Rhinolophus ferrumequinum: one gene and its partners. The protein of the gene in region 1 purifies or fractionates together with the protein of each later gene. This does not show direct contact. Links are inferred from orthologs where the notes say so. Each region holds a gene or a part of one and is shown in the gene's direction. Other genes may lie near its edges.

Region 1 (7,339 bases):
ATGTATATTAGAATAGCTGACTGTGCTGTGTTTGAAAGAAAATGTCCATGATCTAGGTTTTCAATTTATACTGAAAATGGCCAGGTGATTCATTCAGAAGCAAATACCTGCGTTGGACCTGCTGCTCTGTTATATGCTTTGGGGCAGAAAACAAGTCAAAGTTGTGCCATTTAAGCTGAGACCTAACAGGTGAGGAGTTAGCCAGCTGCAGAGCAGAAATCCAGGGAGCAGTCACAGCATATGTAAAGGCCTTGAGGGGGGAAGGAGTTTGGCGCCGTCCCACACCCCCGCCCGCCCGACCCAGGCAATGAAGCATCAGCAGGCTTTCCTAAACCAAAAAAAAAAAAAGGGGGGGGGCTTGTAGGGAATGAAGGTTTTGTTATTATTTTCAATAATTGCAGCTAATATTTAGTATTTGTTTGCTATGAGCTTGACAGTATGCTAAACCCTTCACCCTTATTATCTCATGTAAACCTCACAACAGCCAAGTTGGCTGCTGTTGTTATCCCTGTTTTACAGGTGAAACGAGTGAGAATAGCAGCTTGCCCAAGGTCATTTACGTAGTTAGTAAGTGGCAGAGCTGGGATTTGAACCCAGACAGTATCTGATTCTAGATCCGGTGCTGTTAGCTACGTGGCTTGTGCTTTCAGTGCTTGAGGTGATGGTCTATTAGTGGTTCTTGAAATTGAGTGGATCACAACTGGAATTTTTTTTTTTAATAGAACACAGTAGAAATTAGAGTACTTGGCAGTAGTAAGAATAAAATATTAATATGTGGAACTTTGTTTCACTTTTTTATTTTATATAACTATATTTGTACGTGGGTAAGCTTGTAGGCCGTTGCAAAAAGAGCTACTGATGGCTTGGATTGTGACAGGACAGATGGAGAGAAGTGGATCTCAGTGTGGAGAGGAAGACCGCACCAGGTATCCGTAAGATTGGATACAGGGGCTGAGTGTCGGGAGGTGGCAGGGGAGTCCCTGGTTTCTGGTGGGAGCAAGGTCAGTCCTGCTTTGCGTGTGCTCAGTCCTCTTTAAAGGCGTCTGACCCTTCTTAGAGGGGACATCCTGGTAGCTGTTTCTTTTACTGCCTGATTCTCTCGCTTCTCTCAGCTGCAGCGGATAGGACCTGGGGTTGGCATATCATTCAAATCTGTGTTTTACAGCAGATCAGGAATCTGGCTGCGAACGTATGAGGTGATCTGTCACCCCAAACTACTTAAACGGGGGTTGAGCCAAGAGTAAATTCTCTCTCTGGAATCGGAGGTGAGTAGTGAGCAGGCCACACAGGCACACATGTGGGCTACTCACAGGCACACATGTGGGCTACCAGTAGCCCTCGAGTGAAGATATGGGGTTGTTTTTGCTGTAGTCTCTGTGGGACCCAAAGAACTTGTAGGTTCTAGTGTTGAAGAGTCAAGAGTCCTCTTTCTGAAGTTCAGGTCCAGTTCATTTGTTCCTGGCTTTCTGTGAGGCCCATTTTCTTATATTCATGCATGATGTTTTAGTAAAACCTGGCTGGCTCTTCACATTACTGCCAGGGGTCTCCAGACTGTGCATTCAGCAAATGCTAACTAGAAACACAACATGGAGTACTTAAGTGCCAGGTACAAATCCCCCTTCTCCATCTGAATGGTTTTTTGACCTTGGTCAAGACACTTCTCACTGAGCCTCAGTTTCCTTCTCTGCATAGTTGGGTGATATGAGAGCGTGGTGTCATAGGTTGTCTGAGAAGTCAGTAAGATACACTATAGTATCCAGCACTCAGTTCAGTGCCTAGTGCAGAATTAGAGCTTACTAATTGCTGGTAGTAGTTGGTATTTTTAGGATGGTTCTGGAGAGACTTAAACATGTTTATGAACAAAGCTTATAGGAAGGAGCCAGGAGAGAGGGAGAAAGAGAGGGAGAGAGAGAAAGAGAGAGGGAGAGAGAGACGGGCCATAGAGAGGGTGTTAAGAAAAGATATTAGATTCCAGAGAAGCAAGGATGGTATGAGATCAAGAGCAGACATTAGCTCTAGACAATTAGTGGATTGTTTTCAACAGGAGGAAACCTGTGGAGGTGGTAGAAGGGGCGTATTTTCTGAGCTTGGATCCCAGTTATGGTAGTCTACTGGGAGAGATGCTTACTGAGGAGAAAAGTGGTGACTCGGAGGGCTGTTGTGAATGGCAGACAGGGACACACAAAGTAATTGATGAACAGTGCTGAGACCCTGAGATTTCATACTGTTAACGTATAGTGACACCAGTCTGCATGTCTTTACAGTTTTTCCTGGCTGCGCTATGTTCAGCAGAATAACAAGATGTAAAAGTAAGACTAGTATAGTTTTAAGAGTTTGCATGACAGATGTAGGAAAGAATAAGGAGGCTGGGTACTTGGGTGCAGGGACATACCATGTTTCCCCGAAAATAAGACCCAACCGGGAAATAAGCCCTCGCATGATTTTAATGCATCTTTTGGAGCAAAAATTAATATAAGACCCAGTCTTATTTTTGGGGAAACACAGTAGTAAGGCATGTGGTCAGCTGTTGAGTCCTGCTTGGCTGGGGATGGTGACAGTCTTAGAGACAGTGGAGGGTGGTGGTCTCTGTGTTACCACATGCACAAGGTACATAATTTCTTTGAATGATGGTTCTTCCATACTGTTCCTTGTGTTGATAACTGAAATATTAAGACCAATTACGGCTCTTTCATATGGTCACACCCCAAACATTGAGTTAGTTCTAGTACATAATTTTGAAGTTGCCCCAATTTCACGTGGTATGCTGAATCAGTAAATAATAGGTTGTGATCTAAGTCGGATACAGTTTAAGCACTTAATGAGAGATTTTATTTTCATTGACTACTTCTGAGGAACTTAACATTTCAGCTATATTGAATACTTTAAAAATAAACACACAAGTAGAATAGAGTGTTTAGATGCATTTCATGTGTTTGTGACTACAACAGCCTGTCTTTGAGGTGGAATTCAGCCATGATGTGGGCCTGGTCTGTCTGAACTTTGGTAGTCCTTATTTCTCCTTTCATTTGTACTTGGAGTATAGTGAATCGGAAAATAGTAACAGTTTTTTTCAGTCACTGAACATTTGAGGACCTTCGTGTTTCAGGTAGTAAGGCGTCAGAACAAAAGTCAACGGCACAGAAATGATACCTGGGAGGAGCCCGTCAGCTTCCCTCAGCGTGATCAGCACGCCATAGTAGGGTACACCACACAACTCGGGGTGCCCACTAGCCATTGGGGTCTAGAAGAAAATATTAGAGCTTCTCACCTCTTACTTTCAGCCTCTGCGTGCTTTAAAACATTGTAATATGTAAGAATAGTGCATTTCTGAAATGTATAGACAAACTTACATATATGTATTGCTTGTACATACAAGCTCCTTTTTTTGCAGGTAGTGTGTATGTAATCAAAAAGTGTTGGGAGGCTGCTATATGTTTATATTTTTAAAAATACACATTTTTGATAACTTTCTCTTATGATTTCACATTTTGAGAAAACCAAGAGTTTCTATGCATACTGTGTTTCCCCAAAATAAGACCGAGTCTTATATTAATTTTTGCTACAAAAGACGCACTGGGGCTTATGTTCATGGGATATCCTGAAAAATCATGCTAGGACTTCTTTGCCGGTTAGGTCTTATTTGGGGGTAAACACGGTAGTAATCCACGTTCTGAATGGTGAGGTACTTGTCCTTGTTGCCCACATTTTGTAGTATAAGGTGAGACTCGTTACATACAAAGACTCATTAATAAGATCTGGCATGGCAAATTTCAGCCTTTTTCTCAAGGAAGTTGTTTGCTTCTTTGTGTTGGAGGAAATTGACCTTTTGTAGAATGTGTCCCTTGTCAGGAAGCACCAAGTCCCCCTACCCCTGTGGGACACTGGGGAGTGGGGCATGGAGAATGGTGGAACACCGCCTGCCTGCTGCACTCACTCTTCAGTCCCATTCCAAACCGCAACCATCCAGGACCCACACCCCCCCCATTGACGTCTTAGAGCAACAGGAATGGGGCGCCACCCAGAGATTCCCTGGCCCCACTTACTTGCTCATTGTAGGTGTTTTCTCAGTATGAAATGTCTTTCAGAGAGCCATGTAATCCTTGGTTCAAAAACTTTCCTCCCCCACCCTGAGAACCCTTTCCCTAAAATTAGTTAGAAAAACTATCAAGACCCCCTTTGAAGTGAGGTAAATTGAATAAATGCTCCTAGATTCTCTAGAGGCTTTTGTTTTGGTGATGAGTATTTTAATTTATGTTTGATACTGTCATTTTTTGAAACAGTTTTAACAAGATTTTACTGAAACGAAATCGTGCCTGTGTGCCTTTGCAGGTGTGAAGACGATTAGAAGCATGCTTTCACTGCGCTGCCCGGCACCATTTGTCACGCAGAATGTCTCTGAGTGAGAGCCCGGTGTTTGCCTATGAGTCTTCGCTGCACAGCGCCAACGTGCTGCTCAGCCTCAACGACCAGCGGAAGAAGGACGTGCTGTGTGACGTCACCGTGCTCGTGCAGGGCCAGCCGTTCCGCGCGCACCGGTCCGTGCTGGCGGCATGCAGCAGCTACTTCCACTCGAGAATCGTAGGCCAGGCCGACGCAGAGCTGCACGTTACTCTACCAGAAGAGGTGAGAGGCCTGTGCCTTCCAGAATCACCCTGATTTTAATTTAATGTAACTTAGTTAAATCTCTTACGGTTTCTTAAGTTAAAAATAAAACAGTCTCCTTGTCATGCGGCTCAGGAGCAGTTTGCAGGTTCTGGAATGACACATTTCTTTAGGTTTTTAAAAATAAAATTATGACCTCTTACGTGTAAAATTATTAATTTTGAATGTTCAAACTGTTTATCGAGCAGTTAAATTACTTGACCCACTGTTAGGACATTTGGAGAGGTCATGCTCAGAGAGGCAGCCTGTGTGCCATTCTCTCCCTTTGGACCTTTTCCTGTGATGGAAAACTGTGACCGGGTTTAGGGTTATATAAGTTACACCCCAAGACACGGCCTCATGGAAAGTAGGTGCTCCATAACTGTGCTCTTTCTCTCCTCTTTCTCCTTTCTTGAAGATGTGTCTGTTCATTGGTAGAAAAAAGATGGTTCTATGCTATATTTATAGAGTGCTGTTTTTACACATCTCTTTCCACCAGCCTGGTGTGGAGCTCCAGCACCTAAACATTTGGGTCCTTATTAACGTCCTGCCTCCAAGAGACCTCTCTCTGGGCTGGCGAATGCTGGTTACACTGACCCGTATTAGAACAGCTTTGGTTGGTTAGTTAGTAACTGCCACTGGAACAGCGTTGAGCCTTGTGGCATTGGGATACAAATTAGAATTTGTTAAGAGGAATTTGGAGAAAGTATATAGGACTTCTTTGTGTACAGCAGGCCTGTGTGGGCTGCCCTGTGATGGATACGAAGGCCACGTTGGCCATGCATACTTCCATGAAATCGTATTTGCAGGTTGGGGAATCAATAGATTGTCAGTTCCGTGGTAGAGGTCGGAGCGAGTAATACAATAGCAAGAAAGTGACAAGGAAGGCCAATGATAGGTTAGTCATTGTTCCTAAAATGTAGCTGTGCGTATCGTAATGGACATATACTTCGTGTGGTCTATATTTTCAAATTACTTAATAAGACTTTCTAAGTAGATCAAAGTTTCATTCATGAGTACAGGAGAAAAGGTGTGTATGTGCATTATTCATTATAATTTGAGTGTAAATCCTATAAGTTTTCAAATATTTAAAGTGTCTCATTATTTAAAGTGGCAGATTGAAAATATCTTTACATAACTAACTCACTATCTTAAAAGCCTTTTTTTGGCTATTTTAACTTATTTTTAAAAAATTAATTGAAATTCAGAAAATGCAGAGAGATCTCTTGTACGCTTTGCCTAGTTTCTTCCAGTGGTAACATTTTGCAAAATGATAGTATAATATCACCACCAGGACATTGACATTAATACAGTCTGCCCATCTTATTCAGTTTTCCCTGTATTAAGTGTGTGTGTCTGTGTGTGTGTGTGTGTGTGTGTGAAGTTCTGTACAGTTTTGTCCCCTGTGCAGGTCCATGAATCCACCACCTCTTCAAGATACTGAACAGTTCCAACACCCAAAGATCCCTTGTGTTGCTCTTTTGTAATCACACCCACTTCCTTCCCACCTTCCAACCCTTACCCCGGCAACCACTGATCTGTTCTCCTTTTCTAAAGTTGTCATTTCAAAATGTTATGTAATTGCAATCATACGGTATGTGACCTTCTGAGATTGGCTTTTTTCCATTTACACTTACCCTTATTTCTTTTGAGATTCATCCAAGTTGTGCGTATCAATAGTTTGATCCTTTTTATTGTTAAGTAGTATTTCATGGAATGGATGTACCAGTTTTTATTTAAGTATTCACCTATTGAAGGAAATCAGGCTAATTCCAATTTTGGGCTACTATAAAGTTGCTATGAACATTTTATGTGTGTATAGGTTTTTGTATGAGCATAAGTTTTCATTTCTCTGGGATTAAAGAGCAAGAGTGTAATTGTTGGGGCATATGGTAATTGCATGTTTAGTTTGATGAGAAACCACCGGACTCTTTCTCAAAGTGGCTGCACATTTTACATTCCCATCAGCAGTGTATGAGTGATTGAGTTTCTCCGCATTCTCGCCAGTATTTGGTGTTGTCACTGTTTTTTATTTTAATCCATTTAAAAATTAGTTAAGTACGCACAGCTTAGAATATTTGTAAGAAGATCACAAAAATTATAATATCTTGACCACCCTTATAGGTACTCTGTTTTAAAATTGATTTTGTATTTTTAACCCAGGACGAGGCTTTCTCTGCACTTTGGTATCTTCCATTGCCCCTCACTTTGCAGAGGCAAGTTCCATGTAAAAGTACAAGTTTCCACTTAAAGAGTTTGTTACCTAGAGTCCATGAATCTTTGCTGAAACAGTGCTAGGCATGATTTTTAAAATTTCACTGTGGTCACTTTTTAGATTTGAGTCTTGAAAATTTTTATTAGAAATTTTTGGTGTTTTACCATTTACTGTGCATTTGCTGTGGACCGGGACTACTTTAAGTGCTTTAGATATAGTGTTTTTTATCCTTAAAAATTTCCCTTTTGTAGTTTATAGCAGTTGGAGTTTGGAACATAGTGGTCTCGTGGAGCTAGGCTGGCAACAGGCACCAGGCACTTGACTTTGTATGTGTTACAAGTTGTGTCCATCGTGCTTTGTTTCATAGATTATTTATTTCAGCCGATGTGGGGAAACTGTGATAATGTTTATGTCCTAATTTATCTCATGTGAGTAAGCCGTAATTCATGTGTCAGTAAGAAGAAGATACAGTTCCCGTGAATA
Region 2 (7,467 bases), on another chromosome or scaffold:
CTTTGTGAGAAGGAAAGGTTGAGTTATAAAGACACTGAAATGTGATAAAAGGACAATTTTTTTTTTTTTTGATAGTTGGTTTATTTAGCAGTGGAGAAAAGAACCAGGAAAATATATATGATGCAAACAGGTCTTAGGCCCTTAGCACAGTGCCTGGCACACAGGAAGTGCCCCATAAACACAGTAATATTAATAACTATGTAGTAATAGCAATAAGCAGTAATAAGAAACTGGTAGGAGGTATGCAAAGGTTGGAAGCGCCCAGAACAAGGTAAGGTGCCAGAAGGTGCTGAAAGAGATCCTTCTGACATCACTCCCAGCCAGCAGGGGGATCCATGGGAAATGTAGGACCTGGCCCAGCTGATGGAGGGCTGTCCTGCTGAGGTGGGCAGGGAAGGCCCAAGCGTCTGGGGACAGGACCTCATGAGGGCCCAGAAATCAAATCTCAAGGCAGGAAGGGCCTCCATGGAACACCCAATGGGAAAATCTTCAAGCCAACCCTGGTCTCCTCCACCACAGCCCAGCTTCTAGCTGTCTTACAGTGGCGGACACACTGCAGAGTCAACCTTCATTTAAAGAAAGTTTACTGTGGTTTGAGGATGTTTAAAAACCACTGACCTAATCCTACACTCTCACTGGCAGGTAACTGAAGCCAAAGTGAGGAAAGCCCTCTAATGGGGTCAGCCAGGGTGTGATCTGAGCCGCAGATCCGGGGCTCGGGTCAAGCTCGTCACTGTTACTGAGCACCTACTATGGGGCAAGGCACCTACTGTGGACCAGGGTCCCACAGGGACGTGCTTGGGTGCTGTCTGGTGATTTGGACTCCCGGGCAGGTGAACAGGGACCAGCTGGGCCAGTTAGAGTTCTGCTGGCAAAGAGCAGCTCCATCCCAGAAACTGGAAACAAGGTTCCTCTCTGTGGCAGGAGGTGGGGTCTCTCCAGGATTAGGTCATCGCTGGCTTTGTGTCACTCACCAGGGAAGAAGCAGATTTCTCAGAGGGAGTGTCCCAGGGGACTCCAGCGGACTCTCTCTAACCCAATATTTATTGCTCTTTTATATCATACTAGGCACTGTGCCAAATGCTTATAAGTGGGAACATGTTAAATTGTTTCACAATTCATGAAACAGGCACTGTTAATACATGAAGTATATAGCCCCTTCTACAAAGGAGGAGACTGAGGCAGGGAGCGGTGAAGACAGTCAGCTGGTAAGGGGTGAGGCCAGGATTTGAGCCCACGGGCTAACTGGAGAGCCCCTGCTTTGGAAGGAAAAAAACCCAACTTTTTTATTTAAAACAAATTCTTAGGAATAATAGAGAATTTCTGTATTGTATTCTTCCAGATCCCCCAATTGTTAATATTTCATCGCATTTTCCTTATAATCCTCTATCTGTCTGTCTGTCCATCCACTCATCTATCTATCTTGCTCTGAACCATTTGAGAGTAAATTGAAGACACGATGACCCTTTACCTCTAAACACTCCGGTGTGTATTTCCTAAAATCAAGGACATTGTCTTACATGACCTCAGGACAATGATCAAAGTCAGGAAATTAACATTGATACAATACTATAATCTACAACACTTATTTGGATTTTACCAATTATCTTAATAATGTCCTTATAGCCAAAGGAAATCCTGAGTTACACATCGCAATTAGTCATCATGTCTCCTTAGACTGCTTTAATCTGGAATAGTTCCCCGGTCTTTCTTTGTCTTTCATGATCTTGCCTCTTTTTTTTTAGCATTCCGTCCAATAATTTTGTAAAACTTCTTTCAATTTAAATTTGTCTGATGTTTCCTCACACTTAGATTCATTGTATGAATTTATGGCAGGAATACCAACAGAAGTGATGCTGTGTCCTCAGGGGATCATTCAGGAGAAACTCATGTCAATTTGTCCCTGATATTAACTTTTGTCACTTAGTGAAGGTGGTATCTTACAGGTTTCTCCATTGCAGAGTTATCTTTCCATTTGAATTAATAATTGGCTGCGGGGCAATACTTCGAAACTACCGTATGTAAACATGTTTGTCATAAAATTTTCTTATCCCTTGATAATTCTCATTGGAATCCATTATTACTATGGCGATTACCTAATGGTCATTTCTAACTCTATCATTCCTTCTACTGGAAGGAGGAGCTTTCCCTTCTCCTCATTCATTCATTCAATCATTCATTCATTTATACTTGTATGGACTCCTGGTTTCTTCTCTTATTCAATAAGTTGTAATCCATAATTACTGTTATTTATTTTGATGCTCAAATTGTCCCAGAGTTGGCCAGGAAACCCCCTTCAAGAGAGAGCTCCCACTTTTAAATATGACATTGCACCATATTCCTTAACCTTGACCAAAAATGGAGCCACATCTGTGGGATAAACAGTCCCCATTGGGTGGATACTGAAGCACTGACCCCCTAATGCAGGCAGGCTGGGGATGGGAATAAAAGATCTAGGCACCATGGTGTCCAGGGGTGTTGTGCAGTCCAACTAGTGGGAATTAGTTCACTGGATGAGCACCTGCTATGGCTTCAGCCCTTGAGAAGCTCATAGAAAATGGAGACCAACAATCACAATTGTACAATTTCTAAAATCCAGAACTTTTGTACCCAAATAGGTAACATGAGTTGTTCTTGTAGATATGTAAATGTAGTGCAAGTGGACAATTTGGGGGATGGGAGTGGGGAGGGGTTGTTTGAGTGCCAGACAAAGCTGCCTTATCATTTGGTCACTTGGGAAGCTAGTGGGCCAATTTGCATATGAAACCCAAGGCCTTTGCGAGATAAGAGATAGATGTCACAATCCCAGTTGGACCAAGGCTCAGAGGCAGGAAAGCATAACAAGGGCTCTGAAATCAAATTATATTATATCAAGGGAATGGGGAGCCTTGCTGGTACCCAGGGTTCCACCCAAAGACCTAGCTGGGGAGTTCCTATGCCTTCGGCAATAAAATAAAGTAGATGCTCTGATGTCAGCTTCACAGAATAGATGGCTCCTGGAGTGACGACAGACATTTCAGGCACTGGGACCAACATGAGCAAAGGAAAGGGAGAATAAACAGCAGTACTCCCCATTTGGCCCTCAAAGCTGCCTCTTCTGGGTAGGGCTCCAGACATTGAACACATCCATCAATTTATGCTGGGCCCTACCTAGTTGGGCATAGCCCCAAACATCTGGACCAGGAATCAGTCAGACCTAAATTTAAATTCCAGCTCTTGTACTTCCTTGCTGTGTGACTTAGGAAAGTCATTTTACCTCTCTGAACTTCCACTCATTTATTTCCTCAACATGTTCGCACAGGGATTACTCTGTGCTGAGCATGGTTGTAGGCACCGGACATCCGTGGTGAACAAGATAGACAAGGTTCTACCCTCATGAATCTTACATCTGGTTAGGAAAGACAGACACTAAATAGTAAGCAAATACATAAACAAGACACCCTATGGAGATATTAAGGTTATATAAAAACAAACTTTAGAGTTGGGGGTTCCTTTAGCCAGGGAGGTCAGGAAAAGACTCTCTGAGGCAGAGACAGCTGAGCGGACCTGAAAAATGGGAAAGAGCCCAGCAGTAAACAGAAAAGAAAATAGCAGGTGCAAAGGACCTGTGGCAGGTATGAGCTTGGTGTGTGTGTAAGAAGGGCAGTGTGGCTGCAGAGTAGTGGGTGGGGGCAGAATGACAGACAAGGCTGGAAAGTTAGCTAGGGGCCAGATGGCTTAGGGCCCTGGAGGCCAAAGGCAGGAATATAGTTTATATTCTAAATGCACAGGAAGCCAGTGAGGGTGTTAAGCCAGAGAGAGGGTGGGAGTGTGTGAAACAGTCTGACCTTTGCTTTGAGACGAACACTGTCTGGTGTGGAAAGAAAACTCTTAAGGGCAAAGTGGGAAACTATCAGGCGGCTGCTGCCATAGTCCAGTTTCCTGCCATAGTGCCTGGATCCGATGGTAGGGTTGGGGTTGGGAGAGGTGGTCAGATGCAGGACAGGGTTGGAGGTAGGTACATGATGTGGGGAGGAAGGGAGAAAGACAGATGGAGCGATGCTCCAAGGATGGGGCTTGAACTGCTGAGATGGGAAAAGCTGGGGGGTATGACCAGGAGGTGGATTTTGGCTGTGTAGTTTGTAGTCCTCATATGGCACCCACGTGGAGGCTCGCAGCAGAACTCAAGACAAGATGTTGTGCTCTGGAAATACAAATTGGTGGCTCATGGGCATATAGATGGCATTTAAAATCACGGGACTGGATGAGATCATCAAGGCAGAAGGTGTAGGTCGAAAGGAGAAGAGGCTCGGGACTGTCGACTGTAAAATGAGCCAAATGACACCTCCACCCACGCGGCTCTCGCAAGGTGTCACGTGAACTCATTTAGCCCGCGCTCTAATAGAGGTTGAGAACCCCGGGGCGGGGCCTAAGTGGGGCGGGGCGGGGCAGGGGCGGGGCTCAGAAGCCCAGAGGCCGCTCCCGGGCCGAGGGGCTGCCGGGGAGGTGACGTCACCGCATGACTGGGTTTTTATGAATGAAAGGAATCCTGTGAGTGAGTAATTCCGGGAAGCTCGCCTTACAACTCTGAGCGGCCCACCGCGCCGCCCGCCCCACAACAAAACTCGGTGCGTTGCTCCCAGGAGCCTGGCTCCGAGCGACCCGCGGTCGGGACCAGAGGGAAGACGGACCCGGGCGCCGGCCAGGACAGTAGCCCGCACAACAGCGGGACTCGATCGTGCCAGGAGCGCCAGGCGAAGCGGGCCGAGAGGCGGGTGAGGTACGCGGGTCCGGGAGGGGGCCAGGCGCGCGGGGCCCCGAGACAGCAGAGTCTCCGCGCCCTGGGAACGTGCTTGGGGCGGGGCGCCGGGGCCCACTTAGTCGGTGCTCCACTGTACCGATCGCCCAGAGGGCTGGCGTGTAGTGGGGGAAGGTGGGGACAGAGGTCGGGGAGACCGAGACAGGACGGAAGCAAGCTTGCGGGGGGGGGGGGCAGGAGTGATGGGCCCCTTCTGGGGGCGCCGGGTGGGAGGCGGCGAAGCAGAGCAGGAAGGGGCAGTGCGGGCTAGCGAGCGTCAGCGTCCGCCGAGGCGGGGCTGGGGGGGCGGTGTGTGCAAGTACGTGACTCGGTGAGAACAGTCCCTGGACCGGTGCCCGTGAGCCGGGCGTGCGCGGTTTGTTTACGTCCGAGGGCGGGCGTGCGTGTGTTCCCTGGCCTGCGTCCCGAGTATCCTGCCTGGTGCGTGCGTGTGCGGTGTACCGTGGAGAGAGTGCGTGTGTGTGTGTGTGTGTGTGTGTGTGTGTGTGTCTACCCGCCCGCGCGCTCACTGGCGGGTGAGGACCCTGGGGCTTGTGTTCCAGCGGTGCATACCTTGGAGAGAGTGTGCCCCCATGAATAAACGCAGAATAGGGACCCAAGCTAGGGAAGCGGCCCCGTTCGTGGTCACACGGGGTCCGGGAATTCTCGCCTGGGCTGTCCCCTTTCCACCAGCCGGCGGCGGCCGGGTCCCTGTTCTCTCCGGAGTTTCCCAGGGCCTCGGCCATGTGACCTGTGACCGCGGTGTTTGTCCCCCGCCCAGAACCGGCGCCTGCAGCCCCGGGGTGGGGTGAAGTATCAAAGACCCGGCCTAGCTGGGCTGGTGGTGAGGCGAGGAGCCCACCCCTCTCCCCAGCGCCTGGAGGGCCGGCACCCAGGTCCTTGTCCCAGGTTTTCCTGGCTGCCTGGGGAAGGCAGACCCTGGGACTCTCCTTCATCCCCAGGGTCTCCCGTCCCCTCAGTCTCAGGAGAAACAGGAAGAACCAGAAAACCCATGGCAAAGTGAGGTAGAAAGGAATCCCAGGCTTCCTCTATTTGGTGGCTACTCTGGCTGGTCTGGGTTCTGGAGCTTGTACCTGCTAGGTCTGGGAGGGTGGGACAGAGGATGGGGCGGAGCTGGTTTCTGTCCTGCTGGTGGTTTCAACTACAGGTGGGACTAGTCACACATACCTATTGATAGCCGGACCTGAGCTACTAGTTGAGGGCCTGGGCCAGGCGGAGTTCCCAGAGTCCTCACTCTGGGCCAGGCCTGGTCAACCGGCAGTGGGACAGGTGGTCTTGGTACTCAAAGGGTTAATGTGCGAGTGGTGGGGGCCCAACCTAGTTCTAGCCCCCCTTTATCAGCCCTGCAGAAAGCTTCCCTGTAGCTCAGTAGCCTGAGGCACGGGCTGGGGGCTCGGGAGTCCTTGGTCCTATCCTGCCCTCCCCCTCTTCTTACCCCTAGGGTTACAGAATTATGGGGGGCAGGCAATTGAGCTTGCAGTTGATCTTTCAGTTTTGAATCTTTGAGCCCTGGTGAGCTCTGCTACCACAGCAGGAACCTCAGTGTCCCCATATGTAGCAGAACTAGGCAACATCCAGGTGGCAGAATGGGGGAGGTACAGCAGCCTCTACACAGAGCCTGTTTTCCAGGGGAACTGTGGCAGAGAAAGCAGAGCCAACACCCCCAGGCCGAGGCCAGGGATGTCCAGGAATGTGTGGGGTACGAGTACAGGAGAGGGCCACCAGGAGCACAGGAACCAGGCAGGCCCATCCTTAAAGCTGGGCAGGAAACATCTCTGTGTTTCCTGAGGGTCGGGATGAGGGGAAGCGGCTGATTGACTCGCCGATGGAAAGCTAGCACTGAAAGGTTAAACCTCCCATTGGATCACCCCTGGGCCTTCACTCGGGCCTGGGACCCCACGTGGGGTCCCCTGGCTCCTGTGCCTTTCTCGGTCCTGATGCTTTTAGCCTGAATTGCTGTGGAGCCTGTCATGGGCCAGATGTTGGAGATGAGACAGTGAACAAACGAGACCCAGAGCCTGCCCTCTGGGAGCTTGCAGTCAGTGAGAAGAGACAAAGTTGCAGGAACAGCTACCACACTAAAGTAAAACCACAGCTAAGATGGGTGGTATGAGGGGGAAGTTACTGTGGTTTGAAAGTATATAGAACAGGCATACCTCACCTTATCGCGCTTCGCAGATATTGTGGGTTTTTTACAAATGAAGGTTTGTGGCAACCTTGCGTCAGGCAAGTCTATCAGCGCTGTTTTTCCAACGGGCTCAGATGATGGTTAGCATTTTTTAGCAATAAAGTATTTTTTAATTATGGTGGGTATATTATTTTTTTAGACATAATGCTACTGCACACTTAGACTTCAGTATAGTATAAACACAACTTTTATATGTATTGGGGAACCCAAAAATTCATGTGACTTGCTTTATTGACATAGTCACTTTAACGCAGTGGTCTTGAACTGGACCCACAATCTCTCTGAGGTATTCCTGTAACAAGACAATCAAGGAGGGGTTCCCTGAGGAGGTGACCAGTGAGCCAGGTTGTCAGATCGAGTGATGATTGTGAAGCCCTTCAGGGCAGGGGCTGCGATTCATCTTTGGCCTTCAGAGCCTGGCACACAGTAGGTGCTTCTTGGTGTTGGCTGATTGAATGAATGAATGAGTACTGGGTCCAGG
Region 3 (6,876 bases), on another chromosome or scaffold:
CCCTGTGGAGGGGGCTGGGTGCCCCCACAGCCGTCAGCCTATCTTCTCTGGCTGCAGGGGGCTGCCAAGATGCTACTGGACTCAGAACAGCACCCAGGCCAGCTCAAGGACAATGTCTGCTCTCCTGGAGGGGCCACCATCCACGCCCTGCACGTGCTGGAGAGTGGGGGTTTCCGCTCCCTGCTCATCAACGCTGTGGAGGCCTCCTGCATCCGTACACGGTGGGTTCCTGCTGCTGCCAGCCCCCGGGCCTCCCGCCCAGTGCACCAGAGCCCTCAGCCTCACTCGTCTCCTCAGTCATCCACGCAGTGGATGTTTATCGAGCTCGGGCCTGACTGTGGGCAGGGCACAGGGAGCCCCGAGGTTCCCTGGCATATGGTTTGCAGTGCCCATCGTCCTGCCGGGAGGGGCAGCCCTCTGGGTGCTCACTCTGCTCCCCACGTGGTTTCATCACCGGTGGCCGTCAGACTGGGGTGATCATCCAAGCTGGGGAGGTGGGCCCAGGGGAACCAGAAGGAACCTCTGTGGGCCTGACAATAATACCTTTGTCCCAGCCTGGCTGGGGAGGTTAAGCAAGTTAGACAAGCAGGACGCGGTGCAGTGTGCTCCATGAGAGCAGCCAGAAAAACGAAAGAGCACAGACAGACACAGTTTGGTGTCTCAGCTCGGAGTTACTGTCCCTTATTCAGGTCTGAGGATGGACGGGCATCTTTCTCAGCCCCCGCCTGCCCTCCAGTCTAACCCCCCAGGCTTCTCCGAGTGCCACCACATGACAACAAGGCCAGAACACAGTGCTGCCCTGCTGGCCCCAACCCACAGGGGAGACAGACGAGGCACATATCCTGTGCTCAGGACAGTGAGGGCTCAGAGTCTGGGGGCCTGACACTAGATTTGGTGACTGAGCCGATTTGAATGAGGTGAGAGGGAGGCAGATAGCAGTCTAGGGGAGGGTAGCTGGCAGAGGGAACTGCAGGTGCAAGGGCCCTGAAGGGGGTGTGACAGCACTGCAGCACCCTGGGCTGGCAGGTGCCGGGAGCTGTGGGCCTTGACCCCTCTTCCCTCATGGGCACATGGGCTCAGGAAGGAGGCAGAGCCCTGGACCCAACCCTCACTGCCTCCCTAGGGAGCTGCAATCCATGGCTGACCGCGAGAAGGTCTCGCCAGCTGCCATCAAGAAGACTGTCCTGGACAAGGTGAAGCTCGACTCCCCTCCGAGGGCCCTGCTGGCTCCTTCTGGCCACGCCAAGCTGCTTCCCCGAAGCATGGCCCCGACCGGCAAGAAAGACTGAAGTGTCTCACCTGCCTGTCAGGCTGCCCGCCACCTTCTCTCTCCTGGCTCAGAGCTCCTGTGCTGGGTGTCTAGCCCCACGCCACATAGGGTGGCCCACTGCCCACGACTTTGGTCACCTGGGGTCAGCCAGCGTCATAGCCAGGGAGGGGCCACATCACTAGCCAATGGGAATCTCCACAGTCCCCTAATGCTTCCTGACCCAGAACAGGGATGGACTCTGACCTCAAACCTGCACTTCCTCTGCCCCAAACCAAATCAGGACCACCTTTCAGGAGCTCAGGAAGCGGGGTTTGGGGGCTTCACCTTTCAGCGTTAGCTGGTTTGAGGCTTGGCCTGAGCACAAAGGTCGAGGTTCCCCCTGGCCCCTGTGAAGGTCTAGCGAAAGGGGGGAGTCCCGCCCCACATCTGCTACTTCCCTAACCTCCACTCATGGTGGGGGCGGGGGGAACACCTCCTTCCTCAGTGTGGGAAGCACCAGAGGATCCCAGGCATTCTGAGTCCAATGGGAGGGACCACAGTTCTAGGCCAGCTCATCACCCCTCATCCCCATTTGACATTTGAGAAAAGGGCTCCTCAGACAGTTGGATTTCCAAGGCCACCAGCACTCTCAGGCCACTGTCCCCCATTCCTGACCTGAACCACAGACACTGTCACTTCTCTCCCTGGCCTTTTAGGTTAAATAAATTGGTTTCCAGCCCAGTGCCCTAACTTCTGACTTTGTCAGCATGTGTGGAGGGTGGCCTCCAGCTGCCACAGGGGGTCATTGCTGTTGGGTGTAATAGTAAAGGCTAAGCCAGTAGTCCCCGGGCCCCAGAGCCCTTAGTTCCAAGGTAGCTAGGCTGCCAGGGTTGGAGTCTCCCCGTGAGCAGAGGGGAGGGAGCCTCTAGAGAAGGGGATAGCTCCTCAAGCCCCAGTCGCTAGAAGTGTCTGGGAAGCTGGCACCATAGGCTGGGCTTGCTCTGCTCCCCACTGTGGGGGGAGCACCAGCCTCTGCATCCTTCACATCTCCGGGCTTAGTGGGGGCATATGTCGCCCCCACTCACCCAGGCAGAGGCAGTTGGAGCAGGAGGGCCGTAGAGAGCTAGATTAGGGTTCTCCAGAGAAACAGAACCAGTAGGACACGGAGATAGATAGTAAGTTACATATAAGAAAGATTTAGCCACAACTATGGAGGCTGGCAAGTCCAGTCTGCAGGGTGGGGCGTCAGGCTGGAGACCCAGGTAGCCGACATTCCAACTCAAAGGACAACAGGCCGAGAGAGCACCAGGCAGGTGGCGTCTAAAGGCAGGGAACTTCTCACAGCAGGGAGGCTTGGTCCTTTCGTCCCATTTGGGCCTTCAACTGGTCGGATGAGGCCCATTCACATTCCAGAAGTTAATCTGTTAACATCTACCGACTTAGATGCCGATCTCATGCCAAAACACCCTCACTGAAACAGCCAGAATAATATTTGACCAAATATCTGGTCACCGTGTCCCAGTCAATTTGACACAAAATTAACCATCGCAAGATCAGAGGAGTGACGGAGAGGACACTTGATGGAGCCAGAGTGCTTGCATTTGACATCAAAAAGTAGTCACAGAGCGTGAAGATAGTAAGAGGAGGCCCCTTGCCTCAGAGGTTGACACCACTTACACCCACCCCTGCTCTGGTGGGTTAGGGGACCTGGTCTGGGCAGCTAGGATGTGCCAGGGGCGCTCAGAACAAGAGGTGGGGTCCCCCAAAGGGCAGGAGGGTGGTGGGGATCAGGAGAGCTCCTGAGCGGGGGTTTTCAAGGAACAGCATTGGCAGTATCTCATCTCCAGTTCTCCCCTCCCCCTGGGCCCACTCAGAACCAAGACCCCGTGCACGCAGGTGGGCAGAGGAGACACTTTGGGGAGCCCTCCAAACGTAAAGGGAGACAGGAGACACAGAAGAAAATGCACAACAGAAAAAACCAGGGCCAGGGCTGCGTTCCCGCGTCTGCCAGGGTGGCCCCGACAGGCCTGGTCACTCCCCACGTACCCACTACTGCGGCCAGTGCTGGGCCTGGAGTCCATGCAGGGCCCGCCTAAGGAGTGAGTCCCCGGCAGAGACCCCCACCCTGGGCAGGTAGAAGCGGGCCTCTTGGACACATGGACTTTGAAAGTATCAGCACACAAGGGTCAGGAAAGCGGCCGAACCGGTCACAAGGCCCCACCTTGAAGGCCGGTGGGGGCGTGGCCGCCGGGGAGGGCGCGCCCGAGCCAGTCCCGCGAGACCCCGCCCGGGCAGGGGGCGGTGCGCGTTGCCGGGGCGACGGCGCCCGGGCACGCAGGCGCAGTCTGAGCGCGCTCCGCCTCCGCCGCCGCCGCCGCCGTCGCGCCTTCCCCTTTAAGCCCCGGCGGGTCGCGTCGCCGCTTCATGAATGGAGCCCACGTGACCAAACATCATGTGACGTCTGTGGAGCGGCGGCGGCGGCGGCGGCGGCGGCGGCGGATACCGAGCCTGGTCCGGCCCAGCCTTCCCAGCGCGCACGGCCCGGCCCGCGCAGGCGGCGAGCCCCCACCCCGGGCCCGGAGCCCCCGCGCGGCCCAGCCCCGCGCGGCCTCGGAGCGCCCGCCGCCCCTCGCCCCGGCCTCGGCCCGCCCGGGCCCGCAGTGTGGTGGGTGAGTGCGGCGCGGGCCGGGCGCTCCTGGGTTCGGGTCTGCCCCGCGCGCCGCTGGCGGCCCGTGCCTCGATTTCCCCATCGGGCAGGGCACTGCTGGCCCCCGCGCCCAGGTTCTGGGGGTGGGCCGCGGGGCGGCGAAGAGCGGGCGGGGCGTGCGCGGGGCTCGCTCAGTGGAGGGAGGGGCGGCCGGGGCGGCGGGAGGAAAGGGTGGGGTCGAACTGGGCGCCCAGGGCTCCGCGGAGGAGCCCGGCGGCCCGGGCCTGAGCTGCTGATTCATCAGGTGTGTGTCGCCGCCTCCCCAGGTGCAGGGGTCCTTGGCGGGCCCCGGGAGGGCTGGCGTGGGGGCGCTGGGAAGACCCAGCTCGCGTCGCTTTCGCTCCGTCACACGCGGGCCAGAGCCCCGAGGGAGACTTGCTGAGTCATCAGCATGAGGTCACTGGATGCTCATCCCGGTGCCCGGGGGATCTGAGCTAGGGGCCTGGGGCCTGAAAGGCGGGGAAACGAGGGGTGGAAGGGAACCGTGGGGACGTGGAGAAGGAGCCGGGCCCAGGGGCTGGGGCGGCTTTTTAAGTTTGGACTGAGGTGCGAGTTGAAGGCAGGGTGGTGAGGAGGAACTGGAGGGGCCACGGCGCGGTAGAAGGTGAAGCCCCTGGCCTGTCCATCCCTCCCAGGCATGCTCTTCTCCAGCGGCTGGTTCCCGACCCAAGGCTGGGACAGTTCTCCTAACCGGGAAATAGTTCTCTGAGTGAGAGGAGGGGAGGAGCTTAGGGGGGCCGTGCTAGGGGGCGGGAAACAGGCTTTCCCTGCGACTGGTCTGGTCCGCCAGTCTGGGTGCCCCTGGGCAGGGAAGAGAGGGGTACACAGGCCAGAGAGGGAGGCAGTGGGGCCTCCTGGAAGGAGGGGCAACGGGTAGGGGGGAGGAAAGGGTGGGGTTGAGCCAGGAGCCAGGGCTCCCCCAGTGAGCCCAGCGTAGCACAGCCTGTACTGGAGTCCCGGGGTGAAAGTGGACAGGGAAGGGGGCAAGCAGGCGCAGCGCTCCCAGGAGACTGCACATGAGAGGGAGCCGCACGACGTGGGCACTGGGGATCAAGGTGTCTGGTGAGCAGGCCCTGCCCCTCTTTGCAGCCCAGCCTTGGAGTCTGGGTTGAGGCTCTGGGTGGTGGTAGCGTGGTGGGTGCCTAGCCTGCAGAGCACAGCAGGTGGGCTGGGGTTTAAGAGTGCAGTTCCCAGTCACCGCTAGCTGTCTCACTTGAGGTTGGGGCCCAGTGTTGTGCAGGTTAGCGGAGAACGCGGCCCTGATGGGTTTTGGGCCAGGTGATGGCGACTGTTGGGAAGTGACCACTTGAGGGTCGTGTGGCCTGGGCCACCTCTCCTGGGTGTGTGGGTGATTGCTGGCTCGAGGGGTAGGGCAGTGTTTCGTCTAGACCAGAGCTGACCCTTCTTGCCTTGGGTTCATGGCCAGGCTAGGCTGGCCTTGTGGTTTGTTCTCCGAGTCACACGCACACACAGTCAGCCCTGCCTGGGCTTAGAGATGCCAGCTGTTTTAACTCTTCAGCTGATCTTTTGCCTGGAATTTTATACCCTAGGAAAGGGCAGATTTCTGGAGGGGTGTTGCATTAAGTCTTCTCAGTACATTAGGCTTCGGTGGAAGTTAAGTATTAGACTTTTTTCAGAGTGACTTTTAGTGGCTGGGGGCTTCTGGAGGAGGTGGTCTGATAGGCAGGGTGGGAGTGAGGCCCGGCTAGGTCAGGGTGCCAGAGTGCCCAAGGCCATGCCTGCCTGGAAGGTTTGGCCACTGGGGTTTGCAGGCCAGGACAAAGAGCAGAGGCTGGCTGTCTTGCCTCCTGCCTCGTGTCCATGCCTTGGAGTATGGGCCCAGGGGAAGGGGCTGGAGCTGCCCAGACCTCCTGCCCCTTCCTGACTGGCTCCCGGCCTGAGTGGATGGTCCAGGGTACCTTGGTGGATGCGGGCCGTTTGGGCCTTCTCCACAAGGTGGACTCAGCCTATGGGGGAGCTGAGGAAGGAGGATGACCGAGCCCCAGCTCTGGTCCAGCCTTTGGGGTGGGGAGGAGAGTTGTGGGGGGGCAGTTTCTTGATTTGGCCTCTAGGATCCCCTCCGCCTGGCTTCTAGGGGTGCCCTGAGCCATCATTCCCATGCCACCCCATCTCCAAAGCTGTGTCTGTCCCATCAGTGTGTGTCTACTGGGCGAGGCCAGGCCAGGAGGCTGGAAGCACTGGCTTTCCTGAGACCTGCTGCCCCTTCCCCCCTGCTCACACACACCTTTGATTAGGAGGCAATTGGCTGCACTGTGCTGAGTTCAGGCCTTCTGCGGAGGCTGAAATCTGTTGAGGAAGCACTTTTCTGTGTGATCTCTTCAGGAAGTCACCGCTGTGCTCAGCAGTCAGGGGTGGAGGGAGCATGGGGGTGGGAAAAGCTGGTGCTGGGGCTTTTCCTTTGGGCCGACAGTGGTAGGACACAGAACAGGGCCCCTACACCCCAGCTTGTGCACTGCCGAGAGGGCCTGGCCCAGGCTGGGCATGGGGCCCTGAGGACCTCCTCACCTCCAGCTGTGGTCTGCTCAGCCTCCTCTCTGGAAGAACTGGGCTCCCAGGGCTGCCTGAGTCCCTGGGCGGCCTGGCTGTGGGGAGACGCCTGTGGCCTCCTTCCTGCAGCCTTGCTTCCTGATGCAAGGCTGGGTAGGTGCAGTCCACCCTGGAGCCCACTCGTGCCTCTACCTCCCCAGCCCACACTAGCTCCAGTGAGGGTAAGAAGGCGACCTGGCCCAGAGTTACCTGAAGTGCTCCTCCAGGAGGGAGAACGCAGTCTGTCTTAGCCCTGCATCCAACCTGGAAAGTGGGGGGCACGGTATGGCGGCAGCTATTGTAGCCAGGATCCCAGGACTAGGAGTACAAAAATGTTTTTGGTGGGGTTTCAGGAAGCAGAAAGTGAGGGTGG
Region 4 (7,213 bases), on another chromosome or scaffold:
TGCCACCCAGAAGGCTGGGAAGCCCAGCTCCCCGATAGGAGCCAATTACAGACTCTTGGGCACTAGCTCACATTGTCAGTAAGGGATAAACTATTCCCTATTAGGGCTTCAAGTACCTGGGGTACTTTCCCTGTAGGTCTCTTAGGTGTTGAAGGAAGAACTGGGGCTAAGGTCATCCATTTATCCATTCATGTAGTTTATTAAGTAGCTGTGAAATACCAGGCACTATATTAGGGTCTGGGGAAAAAGGAGGAACAAGATAGAGTGAGGAGACTGTTCGTTACAGTTTTTATCCCTTGAGAACCATATGTGTCAGCAGCAGCCATTCAATTCACCTGAGACAGAGTGACTGCATCCGATCCAGCATCCCTTTGCTTTTCAGCTCCTAGACTCCCTAGAGTATGAATCCCTTAAGCCAGGAAACAGCTGTCATGGCCACTCCTGGATGACATTTGCCACTAAACGCAGATGCTGGATCTTGGGTTCCAGGCAGACACCATCCCAAGTCCATCTGGAACTCTCAGGGATAGCTGCCTTCAGTCCAGCCTCTTTGGGGCACTGTGTACCCGCAGTTTGAGGTCAGTGTCTAGAAGAATACAGAGTCTGGAATTTACTGCCCTGTACATCTCAGGTTCTTAAACTCATTGTCTCTTGCTCATTTCTTATGTATCTTCCTGCCCCACCGAAGGCTAATAGGAGGAGAAGGAGCTTCTCCTTTAACATCAAAGCCTTTCCTCATGATGCTGCCTCTCTTCCTGGCAGGCAGGTGTGGATGAAGGAGCTAGGAGAAAGCTGGCAATTGATGAAACTGCACTGTTTGACCCATTTAAACGGGCTTAGAAAGTTAACATGGGTGTGGCCCCATCCTATCCCACCACAGTTTGCTGGCTTTGTAATAACACGAGACCATTTGGGTTATCAGTCAGGTACCTTTTGATCTTGAGCTCTCTCTCCCACCTGCTTTCCCAGAGCAGGGCACTGGGTACTTTCCAGAAGGCGCTTCTTACCAGATGCTCAGCAAGACTATATTTAACTCTTGCTATTGTAGCCTGGGGACAGCCTCCCCTTCCCCAGGGCACATAAGAGCAAAGGGTCATGTGCTCCATGGATAACCTGACAGAAGTGGCCCTCTTTGCCACAAGCTATAACCCTGTCCTCAAGAGGAGTCTGTCGCTGGCCAGCTGGCCAGAGGGCCTGCTTCCCATGGCATGTAAGTGCCGCGTGCGGGGCCTGGCTCTGCACACCGGGACAAGTCTGCAGACCCCCAGCCCTCCGCAATAATTCACCAGACCAGAAGCCACTGATGTACAGAGAATACTTAAGAAAAATGTATTTTATGTGAAAAAAAGTTAAAACTCTGTATACTGTATCAGCAGCTTTGTGTAAAAATGGCAATCAAGAGAGTCTAATATATTTAAAACTTTTTTAAAAAAAATCTTCGCGGATCTTTGATATTGTATTGAAGTAACTTCCAGGTAGCGCCTCACCAGGTAGACTGTGGCCCAACCACATCCCGAAGGGGCACGCCCCTGAAGTTGCTTCCAGCTGCCAAGGCCTGTGACGGAATTCGCTGTTAAGAGTTTTTAATTAAGATTATTAAATTCCTTTTAATAACACTGGCTAGTGTGCCTGTGGTCATTGCTGTGAGCTCACCTGAACTGTGCTGACTTGAATTCACAAAGAGGTGATGATACCTGGGGTAGAAGGTGGGGGATCCCTGCACTCCCCCCCCCAAAGAAGGCTCTCCCAGGAGGCCCGTGAAATGGAAGGATCTCTGAAGTCTCAGACATGGAGCAGATAGCAGATGTCTTTCTAGACTGGGAGATGGTGAAATTTGGGGAATTCAAGAAAAGATGGATGGTTGGGAATGATCTTTCACTCTGTCAATACTCCCTTTGGGAGTCCCATATATATATATGGTACTATAGGACTCCATGTTAATGTGTATACATGTATATGTGTGTGCATATGTGTAAGTGTATATATGTATATATATATGCCGGGGGTGCCAAAAAATGTATACAAGTGGACACTTTGGTCAATGTTGCTCAAGCAGCAATTCGCCATAATCAGAAGTGTCTGGATGCTGATGGTAACCACTCTGAGCACCTCTTGTAATTGCAGAAGTCAAACGTGACTTGTATTCATCTTTTGTTATCGGTATATATTGAGTATTACAATTTTAATACAGTTTTCCTTAAAATGTGTATACTTTTTTTGGCACTGTGTGTGTATGTGCGTGTGTGTGTTCATACTTTTATACTTTCAAAGGTTTGTCTGATGACATATTTTCATGTAACAGGGCTGCTCCTCTTCTGTTCTGTTCTGTTCTCAGAGTGCACTGACCTGGCCTATCCTCTTCTCCCCCACCCACCCCAGGCCTTCTCCTATGCAGCTTATAGTGAGGAGGTAAAATACTATACACTACTTCACATTATTACAACACAGTAGGTGGGACCCTGGTTGTTCTCACTTTTCCCCTCAGACAACAGAGGCAAACTATGTGGTTGTACAGCCCCAGACCATGGTCCTTGTCTGTCATTTGCAGACGTTTGTTGGTATCTTGGAAGAGGATGGAAAGAGTGCTTTTTTGGACCCTTTTGGACAGTGGATGCCAGAGCAGAGACACATGGAAAGCCTCATACTTGGGCTTGTAAAACTTGACAAACAGGCTGGGGATGGGAAGAGGATGGGAAGAACACAGGTATTTTTGCAGCAGTAACCATTCACTTATTTTTAAAGTTCATTGGCTTCTAAATAATAATGGTAACCTTTCCCATTTAAGAAGCACTTTACAGTTATACATAATGCTTTCTCATTTACACAAAGTGAGGCCTGAAAATTGACTCTTGGGTTTAGCACTGTGGAGCTGATGATGACCCTAACAAGAGGTTTTGGTAGAGCAGAGGAGGCATGTGCTGGATTGGACAGGGTTCAAGAGAGAATGGGAGGAAAACTGGACAGAGCACGTTGAGAAAACTCATTTGTGGTTTTATGTTATCAAACTGAGCAGAAAAACGGGGACGAAACTCTAAAGGAATAATAAAGGTCAAGAGAGAGTTGTTTTAACATGAAAAATATCTCAGCATGTTCAAATGCTGATAGGAATGAACCAGTGAAGAAGGGAAATGGATGATCCAGGAGAGAGGAGAGAATTACTGGCGAGACAGAGGTCAGTACTAGAAGGGCTGGTAGCTGGAGCCTAAAGGGAAGCGACAGTTAATGGATAGTAACAGAAGGCCCAGTATGTAGGCAGAGATGAGGATGCATGCAGGTACAACAAGTGGAAGTTCTCTCTGACTGCTTTTATTTTCTCAGTGAAATAGGACAGAAATTCTTAACGAGAGAGGAAAGGGTGAATGAGGGAAATACAGGCTAGCAGGAAACGTTAAGGGCCCATCTAAGATCATAAATTTAAGGCACACCAGTCAGCCTGGTTGTGCTTTCTTTTCTCCAGCACTGTACGAGTATGGCTGCCTGCGTGCAGGTGGAAAGTAGGTGGAGAGTGGGTTTTAACAGGATTTGAGTTTTGTCAGGCAAAAAACGATGAAGTACGGGAAGACAAAGCTACCTGAGGGTGTAATCAGAGGAGCAGCTATTATGATGGACCGGTATTTTTGGATGAATGAATAAATGATTAAATGCAGGGGATAAAGGCAACATGGCTCATCACACCCCAGTTCTGAGAGCCCAGGAGCAGCAGTGTGTTCGGGAGCAGGCGCCAGCCTCCCCTCCTGGTGCCTAGGTCTGACCGCCCCGGGCCTTGTAGGGCCGCGACTTAGGGCAGACCGGCAGGGGGCGCTCTAGGATGGCGGGGGCTGGACTCTAAGGCTTCAGATCGGATTCTGCAGCCGGCGCCACTGCCCCGGGCCGCGCGGCCACTCAGCCTCATCCCCTCTCTTGCAGACCGTAGGGAGCTCGGTACCAAGTCGCCAAATTTAAATTCCGTGAAGTCACCCCTAACTAAAGCTGGAGGTTGACTGCAGTCAGCAGCCAAAGCGGAGGCGTAGGATGGGGTCAGGCCGCAGGGCAGCCAATGCACGACGAGGGGCGGGCCGAAGGGGCGTGCGCTGCGTCCGGCCTCCGCCGTTATGGGGAGGCAGCCAATGGGAGAGCCAGGGCGGGCGGGGCGGCCAATGGCGCGGGCCAGTTTGATTCAAAGGTGCCTATAAAGCGGCCTGCTGGTCTGCACTTGCCCGAGCCTGGTTGGGTCCGACTACCGTCATGGCTCTGCTCTCCGAGGGCTTGGACGATCTTCCCACCGCCTGCCTGTCGCCGTGCGGGCCGCCCAACCTCGCCGAGCTGTACAGCGAGGCGCAGCGCCTGGCGCTCGAGGAGCTGGTGGCGGGCGGCCCCGATGCCTTCGCGGCCTTCCTACGACGCGAGCGCCTGGGTAGTTTCCTCAACCCCGACGAGGTGCGCTCCATTCTGCTCACGGCTGAGCGTCCCCGCGAGGAGGGCGCGGCGGGGGGAACTGAGGACTCCTTCGCCTCGTCGCACGACTGCTCGTCCGGCACCTACTTCCCCGAACAGTCGGACCTGGAGCCGCCGATGCTGGAGCTCGGCTGGCCGGCCTTCTACCAGGGCGCCTACCGCGGCGCCACGCGCGTCGAGGCTCACTTCCAGCCCCGCGGCGCGGGCGCCAGCGGCCCCTATGGCTGCAAGGACGCGCTGCGCCAGCAACTCCGCTCCGCGCGAGAGGTGAGCGGCCCGGCCCCGTCCCCTCGGGGCGCCTCGGTCCCCGGTCGGACAGAAGACCCTCGTCAAAAATGGGGTACTGAGGCCTCATGGGAGCGCGAGCCTATGGCTCCGGGGTCCCCGACTCGCCCCATCCTGCATGTTACCGTTTGGATCTCTGGTCCCCCAACCACTCCTTATGGTAGGGGAGAGTGGGAGACGTCTCGGTCGCCAAGAATGCCAATTTTGCCCGAATTCCATCTCCTAACATAAACATCCCCTGGGAGAGGGGACCAGAAATACTTCTAGTTCTAAATTTCAGTTAAACCAAACCAGATTGCCAACTTTCCTGGCTGTCAGCCAGCACCAGATCCCAATTCAGGGACTTAGGAGCTGCATTACCTAAGAAGCTCATTACCTGGGGGAAAGTTCCTGAAAGATTGTCCCCAGAGACAACTCTGGGGCATTAGGAATCTATTATTGCTAGTCACCTCCATGTGTCTTAGGTTGTAGAAAGCAAATGCGTACAAGAGTGGCAAAGTGAGAGCTCTGTCCCCTTCCCTTCTGCCAGACTGGCCGGAAAGTTGCTCCTTCTGTGAATGGGTGGGGCAAGAGGGTGGCTTCTCCTTCCGCTGGCGGATGCTGCAGTTAGCCGTGGCCTGCTAAAATGCCCATACCCCTGCATTAGGTGGTCTCTATTCACAGTAGGTGTTGGTAGTTGTCTGACTCTTAGTGTGACATGGTATTGGGGTGCATTGGGAAGTCTTGTCTCGCTGCCAGCCAGGATGAGACTGCAGCAGGGTGCTGGGTACCTGGGGATCAGCGAGGAAGAATGCAGCACACAGGTGGGTGGGGCTGATAAAAAGACATTACGGAGGTAGACACCTTAGTCTAGAGCCATGGTCAGCCGCCACCTTGCTTGCTGACTGGCAGTGCCTGTGCCAGGGACATGGCAGGTAAAGCCTCAGGCCATGGTCAGACTCGCTAGGGATGGTACCTGAGTGTGCCTGGGTTATGATATCTGTGCATCAAGTAACCCCTGGGAGAGGCTACTCAAGTGCATTGAAGTAGCCAAGTCCAAGAACAAACCCCAAATCTCCCCAGTCTTTGCCTGCCGGTGGGGTTGTAGCAAGTAGGGGATACAATAGGCTAGTGCCTTGCCTTTGGAGGAGCAGGTGTAGTCTCCACCTAGGCCGGTTATCAGTCCTGCAGAGCTTTGGGTGTGCTCAGGGTCCTTTTGATGCAGCAGAAATATATGGGTTCAGCAGGAAGAGTAAAAAGATGGAAACAGGCTCGAATGTGGGCTAGGTTTACGTTCATTCCCAAAGCTTACTTATCTCCAGGACGAGAACTTGGGACCTTGGAACTTGAGAAAAATGATGAACGGGTCTCCTTGAAAGAGAGGGATTGCCTTCGCCTCTTGCCCTCCAATTTTTATTGCTAGTGAAGGGGCACTGGAGCTCACGCCAGAGGGAAAACTGTACATAAACTCATGTGTTGGCCTTAGAAGGGGCCCTAGGCTGGTGCTAAGGCTGTCCTTTGTCCTGGGGGCATTGTGTAATCCTGACACTGCTGGGTAGAACCTCCTGCTTTGTTCTCTGCCCGAGTCCAGCCACACCCTCATAGCTTTGAGATTTCTGTATTTGGATCCTGGGTGATTTTTACTGATAAACGTGGTACATACTTTTAAATCTGATGAGTGTTTTCAGTGTGTCTGCTATGTAGCTAATTACTTGCTTATTCAGTGCCTAGTATGTACTCGGCATTGTGCGAGGAGCTGGGGCCACAGGTGAAGGACATGATCCTTGCCTGCTCTTGAGAGTTGACTGTCTGCTGCTGGGAAGCGTGAGGAGGTTCCTACAGGTAGTGGGGGAGGGGCTGAAGAAAGAAAACCTCCAGTGTGGTGGTGACCTTGGAGCGGAGTCCAGGAGGACGGGTGGGGCTTGCCAGGCCAGAGGACAGGGGCAGGCCCAGAAGTGTGAAAGGACCTGGCTTGTTTGGGGGGCAGCTGAGTTCCTCACAGCTGGAGCAGAGAATCTATGAGGGATAGCGGTGGGAGAGGAGGCTGAAGGGGGAAACGGGCCAGATTGTCAAGAGCTTTGCACATTACAGTGGTACTTCAGTTTTTGAACATAATCCGTTCCTGAAGACGGTTCGAGTTCTGAAACATTCGAAAACCGAGGCATGGCTTCCCCATAGAAAGTAACGTAAAATGGATTAATCCGTTCCAGACCTTTAAAGTCAACCCCTAAAATTGCAAATTTAGCATGAATTTTACTATCTCATGATACCGTAAATCCATAAAATTTATGGCGTTCGTAAACCGAAATGTTTGCCAATGGAGATGTCGGAAAACCGAGGTACGCTCTACTTGGAGGAGCAGTGGAGAGCCATCGAAGGTTTAGAGGGAGGGGAGGGGCATGATCAGATCGGTGTTATGAGCAGTAATTCTGGTGGGACCATGAAGGAGGGTGGGTTACGTAGGGGTGAGACGTGTCCAGGGTGGTTACAAGGAGGGGTCCACAGAGAAGAGAGC

Evidence for each region.
Region 2: the proteins of BACH1 (region 1) and MAFF purify together in Homo sapiens (affinity purification with mass spectrometry; 3 studies listed by BioGRID and IntAct, counting the BioPlex papers as one, with this or other methods). This does not show direct contact. The link is inferred for Rhinolophus ferrumequinum from reciprocal best matches to the Homo sapiens genes BACH1 and MAFF.
Region 3: the proteins of BACH1 (region 1) and MAFG purify together in Homo sapiens (affinity purification with mass spectrometry; 5 studies listed by BioGRID and IntAct, counting the BioPlex papers as one, with this or other methods). This does not show direct contact. The link is inferred for Rhinolophus ferrumequinum from reciprocal best matches to the Homo sapiens genes BACH1 and MAFG.
Region 4: the proteins of BACH1 (region 1) and FAM83D purify together in Homo sapiens (co-immunoprecipitation; 3 studies listed by BioGRID and IntAct, counting the BioPlex papers as one, with this or other methods). This does not show direct contact. The link is inferred for Rhinolophus ferrumequinum from reciprocal best matches to the Homo sapiens genes BACH1 and FAM83D.

What each region holds. Positions count from the first base shown.
Region 1 is NC_046285.1:96,011,907-96,019,245, forward strand, and holds the start of BACH1 (transcription regulator protein BACH1), read left to right. Parts: upstream 1-4,332; 5' UTR 4,333-4,389; coding exon 4,390-4,623; intron 4,624-7,339. UniProt on the Homo sapiens protein: Transcriptional regulator that acts as a repressor or activator, depending on the context. Binds to NF-E2 DNA binding sites. Plays important roles in coordinating transcription activation and repression by MAFK.
Region 2 is NC_046293.1:8,823,929-8,831,395, reverse strand, and holds the start of MAFF (transcription factor MafF), read left to right. Parts: upstream 1-4,446; 5' UTR 4,447-4,754; exon of another isoform or gene 4,755-4,759; intron 4,760-7,467. UniProt on the Homo sapiens protein: Since they lack a putative transactivation domain, the small Mafs behave as transcriptional repressors when they dimerize among themselves.
Region 3 is NC_046304.1:54,701,848-54,708,723, reverse strand, and holds the start of MAFG (transcription factor MafG), read left to right. Parts: upstream 1-3,864; 5' UTR 3,865-3,918; intron 3,919-4,114; exon of another isoform or gene 4,115-4,200; intron 4,201-4,850; exon of another isoform or gene 4,851-5,018; intron 5,019-6,374; exon of another isoform or gene 6,375-6,685; intron 6,686-6,876. Other genes in the region: PYCR1 (pyrroline-5-carboxylate reductase 1, mitochondrial), read left to right, coding at 58-221, 1,124-1,289. UniProt on the Homo sapiens protein: Since they lack a putative transactivation domain, the small Mafs behave as transcriptional repressors when they dimerize among themselves.
Region 4 is NC_046306.1:17,395,222-17,402,434, reverse strand, and holds the start of FAM83D (protein FAM83D), read left to right. Parts: upstream 1-4,209; 5' UTR 4,210-4,224; coding exon 4,225-4,701; intron 4,702-7,213.